2 linked regions of the Oryctolagus cuniculus genome follow. The protein of the gene in region 1 purifies or fractionates together with the protein of each later gene. This does not show direct contact. Links are inferred from orthologs where the notes say so. Each region holds a gene or a part of one and is shown on either strand. Other genes may lie near its edges. The genes, in order: MMP2 and COL5A1.

The links.
Region 2: the proteins of MMP2 (region 1) and COL5A1 purify together in Homo sapiens (co-immunoprecipitation; 3 studies listed by BioGRID and IntAct, counting the BioPlex papers as one, with this or other methods). This does not show direct contact. The link is inferred for Oryctolagus cuniculus from reciprocal best matches to the Homo sapiens genes MMP2 and COL5A1.

The regions. Positions count from the first base shown.
Region 1 is NC_091449.1:38,836,676-38,840,478, forward strand, and holds part of MMP2 (72 kDa type IV collagenase precursor), read left to right. Parts: intron 1-2,697; coding exon 2,698-2,807; intron 2,808-3,803.
Region 2 is NC_091432.1:236,119,510-236,123,312, reverse strand, and holds part of COL5A1 (collagen alpha-1(V) chain), read right to left. Parts: intron 3,037-3,803; coding exon 2,899-3,036; intron 2,741-2,898; coding exon 2,498-2,740; intron 1,834-2,497; coding exon 1,660-1,833; intron 1,177-1,659; coding exon 1,120-1,176; intron 1-1,119. UniProt on the Homo sapiens protein: Type V collagen is a member of group I collagen (fibrillar forming collagen). It is a minor connective tissue component of nearly ubiquitous distribution. Type V collagen binds to DNA, heparan sulfate, thrombospondin, heparin, and insulin.

The sequences.
Region 1 (3,803 bases):
GCTGTCAGAAAGACGTTCACAGTCCTGCTCTCGCCATGCGCTCTGCAGATGCAGACGTGCAGGAGAGACGAGTCCGTGTGTGGACGTGAGTGCAGTACACACACGCACAAGCACAAGCACACATACAGGGACACACTCAGGCACACACCAGCTCGGGCGGCGCCTCGCTGGGTTTCTGGGCGGTTAGGTCCTTCTCAGTCCTTGTTAGCGAGAAACCCTCGTCTTCAAGGCAGGGTCCAGGAGGGACAGCCTCCCCTACACAGGACGCTCCAAGAGACTCCCTTAGAAGAGGCAGGACGATGCAGGGGCCTGGCTCGGGCCCTGGGCAGGGCTGCCACAGCAGACGACTCTCTCCCCCAAGGAGAGCGGGTTTATGAGCTTGAGACACTGTCGTGGTATGGAGAGAGATGGTGAGCCGCTACCGCCAGCGTGCCAGGGAGAGCTCAGATTCCACTCAACCCACAAATATGCCTTCTGTGTGCGCTGTCCACCAGGCGCTTGGCTGGCTGCTGGGGAACTGTGAAGGAACGACACTGAAACAGTGAAGGCGGGAACTGATGCGGGCAGTCGTGGGCCTGAGCCTGTGCAAGCCCCCTGCATTGCTCACGTAGAGTGGCAGGTTGTTAGCCCCGTTTTCCAAGTGTTGCAGTTGAGGCTCGAGTGGCAGCGAGATACGGCTGTGCGGAAGCTGGGACCCACGTGTGTGTGTTCCTGACACCTGCCCCACCCTGCGTCTCCTGCAGCTGCAGACAAGTCCCAAGCGTTACAGGGAACCTGTTCAAAACAGTGCGTCAGCGAGTGGGGCTCTGACCAGGGGATGATGGGGAAGGAGGAGAGTGAAGGTCGTGGCTCCTGCAGAGCCAGCTCTATGATGTTGCACTGCTGAGTTCCTCCTGGACGTAAAGATGTTGGAAGCAAATTAGTTCATGAACCTCAGTTCATGAACCTCAGTTTCTCCAGCCAAAAAGTGGGGTTGGTTCTTTAGTTTTCGTTTTTACTTATTTGTTTGAAAGGCAGAGAGACAAAGGCAGATCTTCCATCCACTGGTTCACTCCCCCAAAATGCCTACAGCAGCCAGGGGTGGGCCAGGCCAAAGCCGGGAGCCTGGCACTTCATCCGGGTTCTCCCACGTGGGTGGCAGTGCACTTGCTGCCTCCCAGGGTGTGAAGAGCAGGAAGTTGGAACCAGAAGCAGAAACAGGACTTGAACTGGTGCTGTGATGTGGGATGCCTGTGCCCCCTGCAGTATGTCAACCATCGTGCCAAACCCTAGCCCCAGAGGGGTTGATTCTTGTACTCTCCACCTTGTGGGAGCAGAATGAGAAAGACATGGGAATGAGTTCCAATGTGAGGCGCCTGTATCTGAGCCATCCTGACTGTAGGGGCTGGACCGAGAGGTCGGGGGAGGGGGCGTGGACACTGAGCTGGGGAACTTGGCTTTGGTAACACAGGTCACGAGGAAGTATGTTAGGTTTTGCAAGAAACAGTCTTGTGATGCAGCCGGCGTTCAGGAAGGTCTCTCTGGCAGTTCTTGGGGGTGATGGGCAGAGGCATAGAACCCCAGTGGAAGGAGCCTATGGAAGGGGAGGCTGGTGTGAGACTCCGTGGAGAAGTGAGGCTTCCGTAGAGAAGCAGAGAGCCAGCTAGCAGCACTGTCGAGGAAGGCTCGGAGCCACCAAGATGGAATTCAAACACAGATCTGTCCAGAAAATCAGCGCCTCGGAAACTTGAACTTGGCAGGTCCACACTGGGCGCTCGTTAAGTATTTGCAGAACAGTGAGTCCATTGAGTTTAAGTGGAGTGGTGCAGAAATCAAAATGACAGCAGCATTCATTAAAAACGTTTTTCAGAAAGTCGAAAAGACAGAGGCAGAGCTGGCCAAGGAGAAGAAGCTGCCAGCGGGTGCCCCAGGTATTCACCGGCATTGAAGGTGGGGCCCCGAGTGGCTGTGCACCCTGACAGCTGCAGCTGCGACGCCCTGTGACACATAGGCTTTGGGCTCACAGCCACCTCCCGCACTGTAACCTCACTCTGCGAGCGCGGTCGTCTCCCAGGACGTGACTGTCGGCTCTGCTTGATAGATGAAGGAGCAGTATTAGATCTAAGAGATCTAAGTGACGGAGTCCAAGACCCGTGGAGCAGGTCCCCGGCCTTGGGGCTCCTGATCCAGGGCTCCTCAGAATACAGCAGGGGTCAGAGTTGGGAAGGAAACTAGCATTTCCCAAATGCTTCTTAAAGACCACACACAGGCTAGACCCTATTTTACATGCGTTATATTAAATACAATCCCATTTTACAGCTGGTACAATTGAGGTTTCAAGAGCAACTTACAGCCCTGGAGCCAGACAGGTCTGGCTTGGACTACCACTTAGAAGCCGGGAGTGCTTTGTAAGTCTCTGGTCTGTGAGATGAGGATGACAGTGGTAACTGTCATTAGACTGTTGACAGGATTGAGTGAGAAGGTGTATGGACAGTGACTGACACACCAGCCAGTGTGTGGTCAGTGTTAAAAGCTGTGTTAACATTGTTTTTATGGCATCGTCCAAAGTCATGACATCAGTAAGTGGAGTTGGGATTCAGATCCAGGTCTGACTCCCTGTCCTCCCGTGACCGCTGGCTGCCTCCCTGAAGGACTGAGGTGGGGGCCGCCTGGCCCACGGAGAGGCCTGGCTGGCTCAGCATGTCCGGTTTGTTACAGATACAATGAGGTGAAGAAGAAGATGGACCCCGGCTTCCCTCGGCTCATCGCAGATGCCTGGAACGCCATCCCCGATCACCTGGATGCTGTGGTGGACCTGCAGGGCAGCGGTAAGCAGCCAAGCCCCTCCCTGCTCTCTAGGACCCCTGCGCCGAGCCTGGCCACAGCCCCTCGCAAGCACACACGCCCTCATTGTGCAGGGCAGCCATGCCGCGGCCCGGGGAAACAAACCAAGCCCTTCAGCCAGTGCTGGGCAGGATTCCAGACCCCCGACCTCTGCTCCCTCTGCCGGGCTCCTGGGCAGCAGGGCCCCTCACAGCTGCAGGGCCTGGAGCCAGGGCCGGGAGGGGAGGGGCCCTGACAAGGGGGCGGGGAGCATGGGCCCGTGCCCTCACTCCATGCTGGGTCTGATCCTGGCTCCTTTGCTTTTTGCCGGAGGGCACCCGTTAGCAGAAGGATGCACTGTGCTATGCAAGCCACTCTATCCTGATCACGTGCCAGGAATCCCCCACCCGACTGGTGCTCCCTGATCCCTTGGTGAACGAAGCGCATCCAGTGTCAACAAGGCTGGGAGGGGCAGTCGGAAACCGTGTTCCCAAGGAGGCCTCTGTGAGCTCTCCAGGGCCCTGGAAATGAGTCGAGTTCAGCTGTTTACAAGAGATGTCAGCTCAATGCCACAAAGGTTTTCTGAGGCCCTGCCATAGGGCACGCACATAGTCCAAAGCTCCCGTGGCTCCAGATCTCACCTGTGCAAGAGAAAGCAATGCACAGTCAGGTGCGAGGTTAAGGATTACGTTCAAGGATAAACATCTGGGTACCAGGGCTTTCAAAGAAGTCAGTGGGACCATGTGAGTCGGGAGTCGCACATGGCAAAGCCTCCACAGGCCGGGCGGGCAGCACTAGTGAGGAAAGCAGGCGGTAGGGAGTGGTGGCATCTGTGGTGACCCAGAGAGCGCATGGCTCATTTGCAGGGGGCCTCTGTTTCCTAGTTGCTGGCCTGTAAGGATCGGGGCCCAGGGTTGTGAGATACTCTAGTTAATGTTTAAAAGAAGCCAGAAACCCTTGTTTCATGTGATTTTGTAGCTGTTTACATATTGGCAGCTTAA
Region 2 (3,803 bases), on another chromosome or scaffold:
GCAGGTCACCCTGGCCTTGGCCTTGAGACCGGGGACCCTGGTGTGCACCGGGCCCTTCCTACCTCTGCACCTGCTGACCCCGTGCATCCTGGTCCCTGGCCTCCAACTCCGGGCCTGCAGACGGCTCAGGCCGGGATGAGGATGTGTGAACCCAGTCCCACCCCAGTGAGGACGGATAGGTCCCATGCCGGGCACAGGCCGGGGGCCAGGCACAGAGGCGCCCTCTCCTGCCTGAGCCCTGCTGAACCCCTGGTCCAGGAGTCCCACCCCTCGTCCTGCCTGCCCTGGCCACAGGCGGCCCACGGTGTCTCTGAGAGCTAAGGACTGGCCAAGCACCATTGGTGGCGCCCAGGAGGTCTTCCCAGGTCTGCCAGAGGCCAGCAGGGCCCCAGGGAGCCCCCCAGGCTGTGTCCCCGGCTCAGCCCCCAGGGAAACAACTCCTGGCAGCAGAAGCAATGGCGTGGCCCGGGGCCTCGTGGCTGCTGTCGCCAGCACCAACACTCAGCCACGTGCCGGGCGAGGGCCTCGGCCGCCGCCCCTCCCTGCCCTGGCGGCCCGGCCTCTTCCTGCCCACACCACAGTGCCCACTGCACGCAGCGGCAGAGACGTGTCCAGCCCGACTGCTGGCGAGCGTCTGGCCCATGGCAGGGGTCAGGCCCTGACCTGGCAGCTCTGAGACCCCCGGGGCAGACACGGGGGTGGGGGGGACGAGGACATCCCAGCCCGGGGCAGGGGGCGGCACCCAGGGTTTGTGCACGCCAGCTGCACACACCAATGTGCCACCACCGCTAGCTCTCGGTCCACTCACCCCGAGCCCACCGCCTGACCGGCCCCAGTGTGGGCCCCGTCCTCAGCCTCACGAGGGCTGCAGAGCGGTGCAGGAGGCCAGGCTGTCCCACTGCGCCCCGCCCCCATCCGGCTCCTCTGACCCGGGGCACGAGGGACGCCGACCCTGCTCCACCAGCACACAGAGCTCTGGCCGATGTGGCTCCCACCGCCCGGGCCGGGGTCTGCAATGTGCCCCACAGGCGGGCCCGTCCGCGGGTGCAGTGGCCCAGCCCACAGAGGCGGTCACGCCCCGCAGAGCCCTGGCCCCCGCGAGCACGCGAGCTTCCTTACTGGTTCGATGATGGCCGGCTCCCCCTTCTGCCCTTTCTCGCCCCGAGGGCCTCCAATCTGCGGTGACGCCGGGCAGGTGCCGAGGACGGAGAGAGAACAGAAAGACAAAGTCACCATGGCCAGGAGACGCGGTGAGGCCAGGGCACCGGCACGGCGTGCGCCTCTGCTCCCACCAGCCCCCTGCAGATCCCGGGTGTGGGACAGCGGAGGCCACGTGGGCTTAGAAAACACAGCACCCGAGACTCCCAGAAGCCAACGCTCCAGACAACCCAGAGAGAAGCGAGCGGCACCCGGGGCTGTGGGTTTGAGAGAACAGCGGGGGTCACACAGGGTGGGGAGGGGCCTGGAGGTGCAGCCACAGTGAGCAGCCAGCCAAGCCCGCCGCAGTGCCAAGAGTGGCGTCTCTTGGGCTACGCCCACCTCAGCCTTCTGCACGAAGATGCAGGCCATGATAGCAACGATAAAGCAAAGCCAGGGACACGCGTGGGGCACTCCACCGAGCTGAGCTCCGGGGAGGGCCGCCGCCCCCGACCCACTCACCCCCTCGTAGATGGTGTCCTGGTTGGCCGGCATGCCGGGCCCGATCTCCGACGGGGACACGGTGGAGTCGGGGTCGTAGTAGGGGTCGTAGTAGCTCTCGTCCAGGTTCCTGATGGTCTCCTCAGTGAACTCCCCGTCCGGGTCATCCCTCCCTTCCCCCCCAGACGGGGCGGGCTGCACAGGGCGGGGAGGGCAGCAGGGTCACCAGGCTGGCACTGTCCCTGTGCTCCGCTCTGCCGGCACCAGGAAACCCGCAGAGAGCGCCCCGGCTAGGACGGCAGTGCTGGGGCCTCCCAGCACCCTGGAGCCTGCAGCCCCCGGGGGCTCCTTGCCCCCCCCCTGCTGTGGGAGACTCAGCCCAGGCAGGCCAAGCGAGGCGGGGCCAGGCCTGGGCACGGCCCACCCACACGTGGCACACCGGCTGGGGCTGTGGTCTCGGGACCAGGGGTCTGCACCCACTGGAGCCCGGGGTCCTCTCTGGGGGCCAGGAACCCGGCACTGCACAATGGCCACTTGCGAGCGCGGGCCCGAGCTGCCATCTTCCCCGACTGGAAACCGACAGCAGGCACTGCCCGTCGTCAGCAGGTACCCGAGCTCCAGGGAGGCCGGCTGGCGTCCCGGGGTCACGCAGAGGCCTTGGGCCGGTCTGCTTCCGCCTGGGGACCCCTGGCCTAAAGGGCAGGGCCGTCCCAGCCCACCTGCGGGTGAACCCCTGACCGCAGGAGCCTCCCCAGGACTCCCATGGTGAGTGACCGAGACAGGAGGCCCCCAGGGGCCTGCCCCCACGCCCGCCCCGCCCCCCCCCCCCCGGCCCCAGGAAGTAAGGATGGAGAAGTACATTGGAGGAGTTGGAGGTGACGGTGGTGCTGGTGGGGACTTCGGCCTCGGCTCCCCGGTCGGGCAGCTGCTCAGGGCTCTCCAGGCCCTCTCCGTAGCCAAGGTCATCGTACGGGGCAGGCGTGTAGTCGTCCTCTATGGGCACGTAGTCGTAGTCCCCGACACCGGGGGCCTCTTCCCTCCCGGCCCCCTCGCTGGCTTCGGGCGCCAAGGGGGCTTCCGTGGTGGGCGGCAGGGTCAGCTCCTGGGGAGAGCGGCGCGGTGAGGGTGTGGGCCGCGGAGGCAGGGGCGCCTCCCACGAATCCGTGGCTGGCGACAGAGTGGCCGCACCCCCATCCCCTCCTCCTCCCGGTGGCCCTGAGTGCCACCCCCGCCCGCCAGGTCCCCGCGGCCAGCCCAAACCTCAGGTATCTCTGTGGTTTCTCTCGCAGCTTCCACGGGCTTCTTGGTGGGGGTGGGGTCCTTGCCGAGGTCATCAGGGTCCTCGTAGTAGGGGTACTCGTAGTAATAGGTCTCACCCTCACCCTCTCCATCCGGGTACTGAGAGCAAATGCAGATCTCGTGAGTGAGGGGAGACACCGAGAGACCCCCCCCCAACCAACCACCACCACCGCAAAGCCACTGACACCCTCCGGGATCACTGCCTGGCCCAGCCCCGGGCATGGAGCTGCCCGGGGCCAGCGTGGGAGCCCTCACCCTCCAGCCCCCGCCCTGGGAACCCGAGTCAGCCCCAGGAGCCCAGGGGGCACAGCAATCAGAGGAAGCTGGACCCGAGTGTGACACGGGCCCCTTCAGAACACAGTGGCCGTGTGGTCAGCCAGGCCGTGGCCCCCGCCTGGCCCCGTGGCCATCGCCAGCCTGCCCTGCCCTTCAGCCCCAAACCCCAAGCCTGGGGGCCTCTGGGAGGGACAGAGCCGTGTCTGCCTCAGGTACAGGGAGCGCCTGGCTGGGGGACTCGGCGGGGAGCTGCCCCCAGCTCTGTCCCCGGAGGCACATGTGGCCTGGGCCACGGGACCAGACAGCTCCAGGAATGGCGCCCCTCCTTCCCCTCTGGGGTGGCCGAGGAGGTGAGAACGGGCTTTGAAACGAGAGTCAAGTTCAATGAGGGGGAGGCGGGGGCAGGGGGCAGGTGCGTGAGGAGGGCCCACGGTGACCAGCACAGGCCATGGGCCACAGGCCACGGGCCACGGTGAGAGGGACAAGGGCATCGGCCGCCACCAGACTCTCTCGGGACGAGGCCAAGGCCACCCCGGCAGCAGCTGCCCGCGCACCCGCCAAGGTCACAGGCAGAGGTCAGGAGGGCACCC